Arabidopsis thaliana: one gene and its partner. The protein of the gene in region 1 interacts with the protein of each later gene in a pairwise test. Each region holds a gene or a part of one and is shown on either strand. Other genes may lie near its edges.

Evidence for each region. The genes of interacting proteins can lie anywhere in the genome.
Region 2: the proteins of AT2G40360 (region 1) and AT5G14520 interact in a two-hybrid assay, tested with the Arabidopsis thaliana proteins (one study listed by BioGRID).

Annotation. Positions count from the first base shown.
Region 1 is NC_003071.7:16,850,923-16,859,753, forward strand, and holds AT2G40360 (Transducin/WD40 repeat-like superfamily protein), read right to left. Parts: upstream 5,850-8,831; 5' UTR 5,714-5,849; coding exon 5,549-5,713; intron 5,463-5,548; coding exon 5,339-5,462; intron 5,136-5,338; coding exon 4,999-5,135; intron 4,905-4,998; coding exon 4,750-4,904; intron 4,671-4,749; coding exon 4,553-4,670; intron 4,462-4,552; coding exon 4,203-4,461; intron 4,112-4,202; coding exon 4,003-4,111; intron 3,916-4,002; coding exon 3,813-3,915; intron 3,733-3,812; coding exon 3,582-3,732; intron 3,500-3,581; coding exon 3,367-3,499; intron 3,289-3,366; coding exon 3,182-3,288; intron 3,082-3,181; coding exon 3,017-3,081; intron 2,941-3,016; coding exon 2,391-2,940; intron 2,287-2,390; coding exon 2,201-2,286; 3' UTR 1,958-2,200; downstream 1-1,957. Other genes in the region: AT2G40350 (Integrase-type DNA-binding superfamily protein), read right to left, coding at 673-1,138, 1,734-1,762; LAC5 (laccase 5), read right to left, coding at 7,270-7,400, 7,582-8,565, 8,756-8,831. UniProt on the Arabidopsis thaliana protein: Required for maturation of ribosomal RNAs and formation of the large ribosomal subunit. Plays an essential role in cell growth and survival through its regulation of ribosome biogenesis and mitotic progression.
Region 2 is NC_003076.8:4,680,040-4,686,101, forward strand, and holds AT5G14520 (pescadillo-like protein), read right to left. Parts: upstream 4,434-6,062; 5' UTR 4,292-4,433; coding exon 4,268-4,291; intron 4,113-4,267; coding exon 4,027-4,112; intron 3,792-4,026; coding exon 3,543-3,791; intron 3,444-3,542; coding exon 3,318-3,443; intron 3,214-3,317; coding exon 3,129-3,213; intron 3,041-3,128; coding exon 2,930-3,040; intron 2,836-2,929; coding exon 2,742-2,835; intron 2,607-2,741; coding exon 2,341-2,606; intron 1,887-2,340; coding exon 1,779-1,886; intron 1,699-1,778; coding exon 1,577-1,698; intron 1,480-1,576; coding exon 1,260-1,479; intron 1,169-1,259; coding exon 971-1,168; intron 834-970; coding exon 750-833; 3' UTR 501-749; downstream 1-500. Other genes in the region: AT5G14530 (Transducin/WD40 repeat-like superfamily protein), read right to left, coding at 4,743-4,901, 5,041-5,090, 5,179-5,260, 5,343-5,480, 5,568-5,684, 5,932-6,031. UniProt on the Arabidopsis thaliana protein: Required for maturation of ribosomal RNAs and formation of the large ribosomal subunit. Plays an essential role in cell growth and survival through its regulation of ribosome biogenesis and mitotic progression.

The DNA of each region.
Region 1 (8,831 bases):
TATAACACATTGTGTTAGACAAGTTCAAATTGTGAATGAGACTATGAGTGAATTTGTCGTTAAATAAAGGAGACCAGCCTTCGTGGAGAATTTCTATTTTTCCTACGAAGTGACAATCCATTTTCTCTTTGTCTAGTCAAGGATCCATCATTCATTGTAATATGAACGTTAAGAAACTGTCACATACATATGGAATCAAATCCATATTTGGATTTAAGCCGACTAGTAACGCCCCAACTTAACCAATGCAGTTATTGGACTTAACATTTTGGAAATGCGAGAAGTTAGAGATCTCAACAAATAAAGGCGATCATTACAAAACTTAAACCTAGAAAGAGGATAATTTTGGAGTGATGGTGACGTAGAGGATGATCGCCAGTTTCTTATCATTTCAAATGCTTGATAGAATACATCTCCTCATAGATTGAGAGATAGAGAATATAATATTTTGTAGTGGTGGTGATGAGGAGGAGGAGGATTGAGTGTTATGAGAGTTTCAGACCACTCTTGGTGACAATCTAAAGATCTTCCTTTGTTTACTTTCTTGCATTTCAATAAAGCTCCATATGAGCTATCTCATTTTCAATCTACAACTTAAGACCTCACAATAGTCAACTACGATTAACAATACACTAGAACTATCTAGGAGAACATATTCATCAATACAATCCTCTAGTCTGACCTGACCAAAACCAGATCTTGCATTTGTATCCTCACGTGCACAAACTTCAGATTCATCAGAAAATGCAGTAACCGAGCCTGACACAGTGGCAGCAGTGGAAGATTGAGTCGGGCAGACTGACCGTAAATAGCTTTGGAAGCCTCATCATAAGCCAATGCAGCTTCATATGAACTAGAGAAAGTACCGAGCCATAACTTAGCACCTCGGCCTGGCTCACGGATCTCAGCAACCCATTTACCCCATGTCCTCTGTCTAACTCCTGTATAGTCACAAATCCCATTTTCAGGTCCACCTTTACCTTTCATACAACCCTTCCTCGAACGTTTTGGAGGAGCCTTTCGGATTGGTTTTGAACCACCACCATCGATGCAAGAATCTGCCTCGGTCTGCTCATTGTACTCTCTCCATTTCCTTAGAATCTCAGCTACATCTCGTGTTCCACGAGACTTCCGTTTCCTGGGCATAGAAGCAAGATTAGCAACATGCTCGTGAACTATTGGGCACAGAAGCAAGTCCCATTTTTTCTCTTAACAAGATTTAAAGCAACATGTTCAACTATACTTGGGATCAAAGCACCTTCAAAGAAACAATTTTTAAGCATCACAGAATCTACCAACACCGAAGTAGCTACAAGAATTTTTCACAATCTGCAGCATCACAGCGAATAAAAAGAAACCCCATCACGACCACAATTAGAACAGAGCAAACTCAGGAAAGGTACCACATTTAACGTTTATTCCAGCTAAAGATCCTCTAATTTCCAAGTCTCTTAACCCCACACGAACTCGAAGCCACAAATCGCACAGAACGTAATCCAAAAGAGACAAATTGTGCCCAAAATTAACAAATTTCTGTCTACGAAAAACCCCAAAAACCCTAAAGTGAAAACCTTCTAGCTTTCAACTACTAAACAAACAAAAGAAGTTACTTTAAGGAACTTGATACCACTCAAAAACAACAACAATCCTGTAAAAACAAAATCTTTAACAATGAACAATTAGCACACATACACAAGCGGGAAAACAAAAACAAAAAAAACGGACAAACAAACCTGTCAACAATCTCCGACGCTGACGGCATGTCAGCAATCACTCGAACAAAGTAGCAGCTGAAGAAGAAGAAGAACCCAAACGATTCAGTGTAATAGTAGATTAGTAGTAGCAAAGAAGATGGCTTTTTTCGTTAGCAGAGAAAAAAAAAGGTTTGGGATTTGTGAAAGAAGAAGCCTTTATTAGATATTTCAGATATTTCGGTGATGACGTGGCGCTTGTGAGTGAACGTTAAAAAACTATCAAATCAACATTTGGGTTTAAGGACTTGCCACAACTTAACCAACGCTGCCAAATAAATCGATACAATAAGATTTTGGACTTTACCATTTTGGAAGTGCTACAAGTTAGAAATCTCAATAATAAATCCAGTATAACAAAATTGTACGATACAATATTTGAGTAAAGGTGGTGAATACAACAAAGAAGAAAAGAGATGAAAATTGTCAAAATATGGTTTGCGACCAATCTAGTGGCAATAGAGTTTGATAATAGAGTCAGCGCCTGCAGTGAATAGCCATGGTTGTCTCGGATGAAACTTGCAGTCCAAGACTCCTGCAGTCATAAAAAATAATCAAAACACATTAATATAAACGATCTTACAAGTTAATATGCGATAGTGTATTCTTGTAAGAATCAAATACACTGTAAAAACTGACCTCCTTTTGAAGAATGACCTCTTAGAATCTCCAATGGCACAATCAGAGGATTCTGGTTCAGATCATTATACACCATTCCATGGAAAACATAAGCTGTTGAATCCTCCGAGCACGAAGCAAATAACGGATATGATCGATGAACTGCCACATTTGTAATGTCTTTAGGATGATTCTTGAGAGTCTTGTATGGTTTCGAAGATAGATCCATGTCAAACCAACACATCTTCCCTTCTTTGCTTCCTACTATCAGATTATCACCACCAGGATGAATCGCCATTGATGAGATTTCTCTCAATCCTGTCTCAAGCTTTTTGGTGGCCTCGCCTGGCTTCAAAAGATTGTAAACACGCACGTCCTTTCTTGTCGCAACGAAGAAGTAAGAAAGGCTGGGATGAAAAAGTGTACAGACTGGAAGTCCACGAATCTTAAATGGGAGCCTTTGTGTTTTCTGTTTTGACAGTTGGTGCAATACCACTCCCCGTGTTTCCCCGGATGCCATCACTGTTGAGAGATAGTCTCCTTTACGATGCCAGTCAATAGACGATATGCTCTGAAAGTAAACAAACCAGTTTAAGATTTTCCTTATGTAATAACTGTTAAAAGGAGAATCTTTTGCAAAAGTGTACCTTAAAATGTCTTATCTTAATCCCTCCATATAACTCATCAGGTAGCCAGGTTACAATTGCTGCAACTATGAAGTCGTGCAAAACATACCAACCAAAAAGATTTAATCATTTGGAATTTCATCACAATTACATACGAGATGATGGCAGTTATTCCAAGCCACTTACCAGATGCGTCTGGTTCTGGGATGTTTCCTGAGTGAAGCCTCTCTTTAGTAATTTCCTGTTCCTCATCAGTCCCAAGTTCAGTGTTCAGAAAAAACAAATCTCGTCCCCTGCAATGTGAGATGAGAAGGTTTCACAACAGACAATTATAATAAATTCAAAAGCATATTCACAAGATCCTCACTCACATGGCAACGGCTAAAACTGGAAGCCTGGAAAGAGGATTCCAAGCCACACACATGATAGCTTCGTCAAACTGCCAGACCTTAAGGCATCTACCAGTCTCCACTTCCCACATACGGACAGATCCATCAGTTGAACCTTTGAAGGAAAAAAGAATACAAGATTAGCATCTTGAAAACAAAAGAGACCTCATTGAAAAAAAAAAAAAATAATGAAATACCTGAGGCTATCCACTCGCCAGAACTATCAGTGGATATTGAAGTAACAGCCCCTGTATGGCCTTTATATTCAAGATAACAGGAGTTAGGATAAGGTCTAAGATCCTTCCTACTAGGTAGCTTAGGCTTCAAAGATTCAGGGTCGATGTTTATCTGGAGAAAAGAAACATAATGTAAGAAAAAATACGGGAAAAACAAAGAAGAAACCAAAAACTGAGATGATAAGTACTCACTCTCTTCTTTCGAACTCTTGGACATAGGTATAGATCCAAACAACGCTCAAAAGACTCCTTCAGTGCATTCTCATACGCAGGGATGCTTCTCAAAGATGTAAACCTATGCGCAGATATATTTACTGAAACGCTCAGCGGACAAATACCAAAGAAACTACATTAGAGTAGAATAAGCGAAACTGTTACATACCTTGTAGGAATGAATTTTGGACGATCTTCCTCAAACATCAACTCATATGAGGCTTTCTCCTCCTCTGTTGGAATATATTCCAAAGAAGGATTGTATGATTCATCGTGTCCTGGAAAGCCAAATAGTACAAATTAAAAGTTTGAAAACGGAATTCCCAAGAGAGGAAGAGAAACAACAGAAAGTCAGCGAAAAGTTTTCACCTGGCAATTTAAGCTTGGGTGGAGGAATATAAGTTAAATGCTTGCTCTTTTGATCAGATGTCGAATCATCACCCCATAAAAGGTATACATTGGGCTCTTCTTCAGGCTTATCAAACTTGATCCACCCCTTACGTATTGCTCTAACAATCTTAACAACCTTTTTGGCCTCCCATTTTGAAGGGATGAATCTTCGCTTGGGCTCTGGTGCACTTGAGAGTGGATGTATTGCATCATCATGTTTGAACCACTCAACATAAGGCTGGTCCCAAGAGAATCAATCAAAAGGTCACAAATTGAAGAGATTTGCATAACATTAGTAGAAAACGGCTACACATAAAACAGATACGTACTGCATATGGATCAAAGTCCGCATGTGGAGCTTCCCCTTTGAGTATTCTCTGAACGATCTTGCTCTCCTCTTTAGTCAGCTCAACGTCCTCGTCATTATATTCATCATAAATTTTGCGCCTAAATCCCCAAAAACTTTCATCAGCATTATGACACCAACTAACCACATACCAACAAACAGAAAAGTCTTCATACTGACCAAGTCTTAGAGTCATCTATAGTTGCAAGAAAAGAGTCGAGTTTATCTTGTTTTTCTTTCTTAGTAATCTTCTTCCCAGTGAGGTCATAACCAATATGTTTCTCATCTTCATACCACTTTAAGGGAACATTCCCAACTGTATTTCTAGATGGAACCTACAGATTAAAGATACAAAAATATCTATAACTTCATCTGGAAATGGAGAAAGATAGATTCAAGACCAATATGAGATAGAGAAAAGCATCAAACCTCATCTTCTGAGGAATCGCTCTCTTCAACCGCTTCACCTCGCTCAGAATCTTCATCACTCCCATGTTCCTCATTATTGTCACTACCTACATGTTCACTTCCATCATCATCCTCGTTATCAATTGACCCATCATGCTCTGCACCAACATATCCTAACATAGTTAATCTCTCTTACTTGAATTTACTTTCCCATGTTAAAGCTAGAAACTTTATTCCCCCATTATAAACTCCCGCAAGTATTTTCTAACACACTATAATTAGCTTCTTCAATTCAAAAGCATAAACACTAAAAATTTAAGATTTGAGCTAATTTAGACGAAAAGCAGAGTAAGAAAAGTACCAAGCACGTCGTCGTCATCGGAAAATTCTACATCTCCATCTTCTGTTCCTTCATGTGTTCCATCATCCTCTGAATCGGAAAAATCGGAGTCGAAATCGTCGGAATTCAAAGAACCAGGCAAACTCTAAAAATCACCCAAAAAAAAAAAACCAGAATAAATCAAATGCAGAATAAAGATGTTACAAAAGAGAAGAGGAGCAAGAAGAATACATCTCCGTCGTAATCAGAATCAGTTCCGGATGCTTGTAGAAGGTCTTCCTCTTTTAAGCTTTCTGCTTCTACTGGTTTCTTCTGTTTCTGAGATTTTCCAGAAACGTTTTTGCTTTTGGTTTCTATCAGCTTATCTTCGTTAGCTCCTTTGCTCCTCTTCGTCATCGGAGCTTCCAGAGGCGAGTTTTGGCCTGAGAAGAAATTTGTTTTAAGAAGGCAAGGGGATGCGTAACAAGAGATTTAGGGTTTTAGGTTGAAGTCGTAACTCTCTAATGGGCCTGAGAATAATTTTTTATTGAACAAGGCATGGGAATGCGTAACAAGAGATTTAGGGTTTTAGATAATGGACCTATATACTAATGGGCCTTTCGTGAAGACGATAAAAGAAAAAATTTAAAACCTTTGTGGTGGTGTTTGATGAATGGTGAAAAGTGAAAACGACAAATAGACTTTTTGGTTGTGATTAAAACTTTTTTATTCTTCTTGGTTGATCCAATTCTAAAGTGTCTGATAATAGTTATATATCATGATTTTCGCCAATATAAATTAACAATTATTAAAATTTGTATAATAGATATTATCTGGTTAGTGAATTTTAAAATATATATGTTAGGTTTTAAGATGACAAATGAGTTTAGTTTGCTATTTATTTTAGTATTTAATTGGTTTGCAAATGCCTTAAAAATTTATGAATATCTATCATGTAAAAGATCAATTATTCTTTTATATATTTTGCGTGTTTATAGCTAAGCTCACACTCGCGACCTAAGTTTTATTTTCTACGGTAAGATTTAGTTTGGATTTTCACCTTTTTGTATGGATTAAATCAAATATGACAATCGGAGTTCTTACAAATTATTACACGTTAATTTCTTGTCTACTCTAATATTTCGGTAGATTAGTGGCAACATGCATGTGTAAGAATTATATTATTATTATCATTTGTTACATTTGTTATAAAATTAGCCCTCTGAGTACTCAAAAATATAACAAAGTCATGACAACTTTTGTTTCTTCTAGTAATGTCGATGTTATGATTAATCCGCGTCGGAAATCACTTTGCCCCAAACTTTTCTGCTCAACTAATTTGGAATTTCAGGCCACTTTTTCTTGATGTCATATTCACTTATTCTTTTTCAATTAATTTCGTTATCATCTTCTCAAGTTCAAATTCAATAATGTTACGTAAAAGAATAATACTCATCAATTCATAGCAATGCGTTTTAAAACAAAATGGAATTAGGATAAGTTTCTTTCTTTATAACTTCAACATTCAATATTGACTCAGCAAATATTACGCCAACAAATTATGTTGTTTATTATGATCGCAAAAGTTCTAAGCTGATTATGGAAATAAGTAGGAATTTAGCTCAACAACCATTCATTCTAATTCTAACATATCAAATTCATGCTCTTAGTCATACACAAATCGAGTGAATGAAACCTTTTAACAAAAAAAAAGAAATCGAAGTAATGGGTCAATTAAGCATAAAGAAAAACGAAAAAAATAAACTTTCATGATACGTATGCTTAGGCTCTTAGCACTTGATTTGGTACTATAATGTCAAAAGAATACATCAATAATCGAGAAAACTTAATCTGAAGGGTCCGGGCCAACTCAGGAGTATGACCCGGTTTACGTCTATAACCAACAAAAAACAATTGAATAGAAGAACATGAAAAACTATAATGTGGTTTTATGTTACAAAGTTCTTGAACTCCTAACAAACGGGCAAATCATGAGGAGGCTGTTCTATTGTCTGCAAAACTCCATTTCCATTCTCAACCAAAAAAGCCATGGCTAGTCCCCACGATATGTGTGCATCTAGATGACAATGCATTATCCAGACCCCTGTTTTCAATCATTTTTACACGTATTTAGTTTAGGGACTAGTCTCGATATATATATAATAAATTAACGAATCATGTAAATTTTATAGCTAAACTGAAAAGCGAAGAAATTTGGATAAAAATAAGTAACACTTGTAATGAATGATAACTAGTAGTATTTTTATACTAATAGTTTAGCTTACCAGGGTTGTCTGCGATGAATCTGATGACGGCCCAACCATTAACAGGTACACCGACAGTATTTCTGAGAGGCGGGTCTTCAAGATTGAATTTCGCGGTATCTTTCTTGGGATTGAAGTTACCGAAACCCTCGGCGATAATGTAGAAATCGTAGCCGTGTAGATGAATGGGATGGTTTTCGGGAGTTACTATACCTGTGTCTTGAAGAACAATCTGAACCCTTGATCCATACTTGAGTTTGTATAGCTTAGTCCCTCTATCAGGTTGGTAGAGAGATCGGCTTATGTTGTTACCAGTGTAATCAAATTTCACCGGAGGCTTCGCCGGAAAATCGGTTGTGAAGACTCCGGGGATCCCATGGTGGTGAGCTTGAAGGAGTGAGTAGTTACTTGGAAGAGCAAATGAAACGTTGTTCATCGATGCAGTGAAACGTGTGCCGTTAGGACCTTGACATCTTCTTGATCTGAAGTTCTTAGGACAGTTGTTGAGACCGAGTCCGATGGTTACGAAGAGATTCTCGTCGATTTCTGTCGGAACCTCAGCTCGTCTAAGTGACCGGAAGCTTTGGCTGAAACGTGTGACGGTGTTTGTGTCGTTGTAGGCAGGGAGGATAGGCATGATCGGTTTGAAGGAATTACCCTTCTTGGTTCCACTTCCGCCGCCTACACCGCAACAAGGGGCGGATTTGTATTGAAGGATTGCTGTTGTGGTTGTGTTTCCAAACGGTGCGTTTTGGGCGCTTTGGTAAGCTCTTGCGGCCATGTAGTAGCGATTTGGTGGTTGGTCACCGGTTATGAGGACATCTGTGGTTTGTCCCGGGCCAAGAACTATCACGTTAGTGGTGAAGGGTTTTAGGTATGACGCGTCAGCTCCGACCACCGTGAGTTTGTGATTAGCCACCGTGAAGAATAACGGTTGGTTTAATGCTGAGTTTATTACTCGTAGTAGTATAGTCTCACCAACATTTATTGGTACTACTGTCGTATCTGTAACCAAAAGATTATAAAAAAGTCTAGTTAATATACTTATTTGAGTCTTTTGGGCTGATGTGTTTTATTTTGACTAAAAGATACCAAAGTCAGTTATGACAGTTGGGAGAAAACAGGGTAAAATATATGGGACAAGTTTTTGGACAGTTGATAAAATTAAAATTAATTTGAAGAAAAAGAGTAAAACCTTGAGAAGAGCATTTATAGAGATCGCCAGGTTGACCATTGATGGTGTAAGCGTCTGAGTTATTCGGAGCTCCTCC
Region 2 (6,062 bases), on another chromosome or scaffold:
GGGTGTGTTTTTTATATTTTAGTCGTCTATAAATGCAAAATTTTCAATAGAAAATAACATATTTTTTTATTTTAATGTTTTACATCCTTCTCTTTTGGTTAGGACAGGAATATGATCAAGTTTCTATCCCCATTGGTCCCTAGTTCGAATATGTGTGTAAGAAAAAAGTGCTTAAATTTTCTTCGGTTACAAGTATGGAATTCAGAAATACGTACAGTATATACATTTTTAAAATTATATATTTCCAACGAAAACTATACAATATACAACTTGTTATCAAATAAACTTGCTGACTAAAATACATTGTAAACGATACCGAGTTTGTAAATTGTAAGAACGTCTCCAACTAGAAAATTCCCATTCAAGTCTATTATTGTTACCATTTTTTAGTAATTATTAGGTAGATAAGATTATTTCTTTAGGCGTACTCATGCATCAAGAAAAAAAAGAGATCAAATATTATAAAATTGAAATGTACTTTTGATATTCTATGTTGTACAGCGCCGTTGTCTTTAAGAAAATCATTGTCTTACTCTTACATTATTCATGTAACAAAGTTAAGACGTACGCAATAGATTCATAAAATTTAGTCTAAAACTTCAGTATAGTTGGACGTATAAAAATCAAAATCAAAACTTTTTAAAAAATTTGGAAGTACATGTCGCGAAAGACTAATGATGATGATACATAACTTAAGAAAAAGCCTTCTGAAGAAACAGAAATGTAAACAAAAATATAAAAACAAGTTATCATGATGATGGTTGAGTATCATTCAACCTTTTCTTGCGCTGCTCGATTATTTCAACACCTGATCTCTTCCTTGACTGCGAAATCTGCAGATACCATTTCACAATACACCAAATTAACATCAACTTACAAACACTAAGAGACCCTTTCATTGCTATGCTCTTACAGACCTATAGAAACTATATAAAAAAAAAAAAAATGGTAAATGTAAATGGGTACATACCTTCATGGCATCGTAGAGCTTCCTCTTCTTACGGGACATCAACACTTTGGGCATATCAGCGTCCTCTTGAGCTATTTGCATAGCATCCGGAACTGATTCTTCACCCTCACCTTCAGCCAACACAGGCGCTACAACATCCTTACTTCCATTTATTTCCATCTTCAGTTCCTCATGGTATTGCTTCTCCTGCGCCGCCATCTACATAAAATAACCCACAAAGTTAACAACTTAATCAACGCATACAAAAGTTTGACAGGCTTGAATTGCTTATATATCAGCAAAGTCAAACCTTCTTCTTGTTCTTTGCAGCTTCGGCTTCCTCCGCACGACTCATAACACCAGCGTACAATAAATTTTGAGGATCTTCAAGATCCTCTTTCCCAACACCTGGCAATGGAAGCACTTCGTTTCTTGCTGCTGCCTGTAGTCTTTTGATGGTTTCGGCATAATCAGGAACGTATCCTTCTGCTTCATTGTCCACAAATGGTGACAAGTGTGGCGGTGGAATTCTGCTTGTAGAAAAGCACACAATACATATACAAACAGCTGAGTAAAACAAAACATGGTAGTGAAAAAAGAAATAAGCAAAGTCTTCGAGTGTGTTACCTTCCGACCAAGTACTTTTCAGTTGGCAAGATTATGCGAGCATTCACACAGTCATAGATCCACTGTGGTTGCACATATACCCTAGAAAGGTACAAATGGCCAGCGCTTGGCTTATCGATGATCTACAGAAGTATAATGTATGTTCTTGAGACTATCTATCTAGACACAATCGTAATATTAATAATCAAGCTAAATAGCTTACATGATGTGTAATACTCTCATCATCCTCCTTGAAAGGTGCACCTTCTCCTTCCCAAGACACCATCCCACCAAAAGCAGTAATCACCAATTGCAGGGACTCTCTTGGAACCTACACAAGTATACAAAATTATTATACAATAGACAGGCCCCAGTCATGAAACAATTTAATGATCTTCTAGGTCACTGTGAGGAGACACTCAAGAACACAGATCTTCCAAATATCAAAACATGGAATGCAATTTACAATCATTGACACAACTTTGGTTAGGACTACACAGTAGTTCTAGGTTCCCTCACCACTAAGTACGTATAAGAATCATTTTTTTTTTAAATGCCGTTACTTACAAATGGTTTGTCTTTAAGTAAGAGTCTTTGAACATTATAGACATGTCAGAGATTTAGGCTATAGAAAAATTACCATTTTATTTGGTAAATTACTGAATCAGTTTAGTAGCAAATGAGTATGTTTTGTCCATAACAGTTAAAATTTGCCAATGATTTACTATTTTAGAACAAAATTCAGTGATAAGAAGTGGCTCAGAAAGAATGAATCAAAAAGATACCTCACGGCTCAAGAAAAACTTCAGATCCTTGAAGAGTGACTTGCACACTCTTGTTTCTTCATCCTCTTCAACCTCTTTATTGTTATCTGCAACCAGATGCATCAATGCTCCAGGCTCACTTGAAGGCAGCTGGTGCTGAAGCTGTGCAAGTCTAAGTTCAGACTCTTCACGGTCATTTGACTGTGAGCTAAATGAAGCATCAACTTTGGGTTCCACCGCCATGCCTCTGGAGCTGGCATCTATGTATCTAGACAGTGCATAGAGATCTGCAACATTGAAGACATAAACAAATATATATTAATCAGAGTAATAGGTGACACGTTCTAATGGTTACATATGAACTCCCATATGAAAGATATCTCTTGAGGAAAATAATTGCTTCTTGGAGGAGGACAACGTACCTGCAGCCAAAGCCTCCAACCGAGAGTCAAGGATTGGCGGGTATTTAACATTCAGAGAATGGTAAAGCTTGAAGTTAATAAAGGCAAGAAGAGTCTGCATCAAAAGGTGAATGAAAATTTGTCAGCAAAAGTCCAAACATTAAATTATTAAGGAAAAGGGGGAATGAATAGATATTAGAAGTTCTCACCTCGTAAAATTCCAAGAAGGTAAGCAGGACACCAAAGTCAACATCATTTGTAAAAACTTGTTGGATTGCATGAGGGGTCAACCAAGTGATCTTTTGACCTTCTATTTCAGCCTATCAAGATAATATTACCAAAGTTTCATTAAAGAGGAAGTAATCTACTAATCCCATTATAAGCTCTCAAGATAAAGTAAAACAATACCTGATAGTAAATACCCTTGACAGACACAAACACTTTACGTAACGCATGAGAACGTGAAATGTAAGCTTGCCATTCATGGGTCAATCTGATTCACAAAAGAAGCACAGAGTCAGATTAAAAATATGAAACTAAAAGAAGCCGTCAATAAGTCAAGACACAAGGGTCCAAGAGAAAGTATAAGATTCTGACCTTCGACAGTTGTGGACTCGCTTAACTTCAAGATTTTCCCTGTCTGATGCAGGTAACACCGCAAAAAGATGAACCATAGTGAGACAGTCATCCAAGTCTCGCAGTGCATCAATAAATGTTGGATACCTAAACATTAATAACATAAATAGAAATGAGAGTTAACAGTCTAAAACTCATGGATGTTCAAACACAACTGTATAATAAATTCAAGTGTGTCAAGCAAACCTCTCACGGATCAATCTATCAAGCTTGTAAGTAGGTTGGCGGGTGAGCAGAAGGCGTGCAAGCTCCTCGTTTTTCTTGGCCTTGGCTTTTTTGACCTTCTTTTGGTATGTTTTGATTTCCCTAAACTTCTCAAGAAGAGGCTCGTGCATGAGGAAAGCAATGTCCTTGACATGGTAGTAAGTGTGATGGTTTCCCTTAATCTTCTTCTTTGGTTCTCGGGGAAATATACCTTTGACAATACATAGTCTCCTGAAATACATAATCGGCAGGTACAATAATAACAAATTAGTCACCTACTGATAACCAGAGAATTTCTAAGTAAAAACCTAGCTAGGAACATAACACAATCTCGATATCAATTCTAAGATAAATTGACAAAACACGAAGCATCTGAAAAAAACCTAGTGCACACATATGCTTGTCCGAACAATAACTCGAAGAAAAACAGTGAAAAGTTGAAGGATAAAGAAGAAAGAGAGTGAACCTGAATAGATTCAAGTTAACTTGAAGATGTTTAAGAGCTTGCGACCTGGTCATATACCTAGCCGCATTTCCTTCCTTCTTTTTCCCCTACAAATGACAAACATAACCAAATTCATCTCAGAAACAAGAAAGAACCAGCTCCAAAGTTTTTCGAGCAAAGGGAAAGACGAAAATAGATTACAACAGTTGTTGAACAACGAATATTGGGGAGAATAGAGCTTCAATCAAAGAGAAACACTCACCGTTGGTCTGTAATGCTTCGGCATGGTGAAAACGCCACCAGAGAAGGAACGAGAGACGCGGAGAGGAAAAAGAGAGACAGAGAATTAGGGTTTTAGCCAAAACGATTTGTTAAAAGTCGGGGTACAAGAGGACGATATAATGGGCTTCTTATGACCTATTTGACTTCTTCTCAGGTTTATTATACCATGGGCTTTTAAGGCCCAATATGCTCATTGTTGTTTGTTCTTCTGGGTTTTTTATTAGGATCATGGTTCGTGAAATCTTTTCCAGTTTACGTGAACATTGATGTATGTATTCATCCATATCTTTTTTACGTAAAATAAGAGTAAATAGTCATTAAAGAAAACATATTGTAACCATCTAGACTCAAATTCATAAACTCTAAATTTGATTAACATACTACTGCTTCCAAATTTTTCTAATTGTCAACATTAAAAAACGATACACAAGTGCATAATGGAAACATATATGTCGTCACTGTTGTTGATCGGTAGGAGGATCGGCGGGGGCTGGTGATTCACCGTCGTTTGGGATCCAGAATGTGAGAACCGTAGAAGCAGCAACGAACATGGCTCTACGTGGTGCCCATTTCAGACACGACACTACTCCTATGTTGTTCTCCCACCTCGCCACCTGCTTTTTACACAAAATCCCCACTAAAATTTAAATACTGTGAAAGCATAACGCAAAAATAGTATCTACAACTTTATAAATTATTCATCACTTTTAAGTGAATCAGTGTCCTAGTGGTGTTGATTATTCTGCACTTTACCTCAGATGGGTTCTCGATGTTCCACGCATGTAAGGTTCCATCACCTGAACCTGTATCCGAAAAAGAAAACTAAGCTGATTAAATTTGAATATTGTGTAGATGAGTCATGATAAAAGATCATCTAGGAACGCGTATTACCTGACAGAACATACTTGCCATCTGGTGTGAAGGTGGCCTCTATGGGTGTACCCTGTGAAGGCTCCAAACTAAAACCACATTTCTGCAAAATAACATACCGTCTTTTACCAACTTGAAACCTAACGTTCTGTCTTCTTCAGGTGAAAGATAGAGAACGTGATTACCTTCTCTCCACGATATGCATCAAGAACGTAGATATTGTTATTTGTAGTCGTTAGGAGCATGGATTTCCCATCGTTGCTGAATTTTATATCGTTAACCTCAGCAGTATCCCCACCCACCAGAAATGTGTCAAAGGGACCCTACATAAGAGATCAATTGGGTTTAGAAGTTAGAACTAACAAGAGCAGTCATGCGTAAGGCTGTGTGAATCATTGTAAGAAGCTAACCTTGTCATAACACCTGGAATCAAATAATTTAACAGCACCTCCTTCCATTGCAATTGCAAACACAAGGCCTTGTTGGTCATACGCAACTGCAGGTCTACCACGTAGATGTAGAATTCCCTATTGACTAAAAGGGTAAGCATAGATCATGAAACCATATAAATTCACAGAGAGAGTATTAAGGTAAAGAGCCTAAATATTCTCAATGTTTCGTGGTTCCAGCATCTTCATCAAGTTTAACTTTCAAGGTGATATATCACGAGGTTTTTGCTAACAAAAAGAAAAAGGCACTTTTCTCATTAAAACTCTAGCATATTAAGACTTATTCCATCTAGCCTTCTCAGAGTGTAAAACTATAGAAACCAACCTGGCAGGCATTTACACGAAGATCCCAGAGTCTAACACTTCGGTCGAGAGAACCAGACATGAAGCTATCATTTATAGGAGACATACAAAGTGATACAACCCTGAAACAGAAGAACATTTTCCATCATCAAT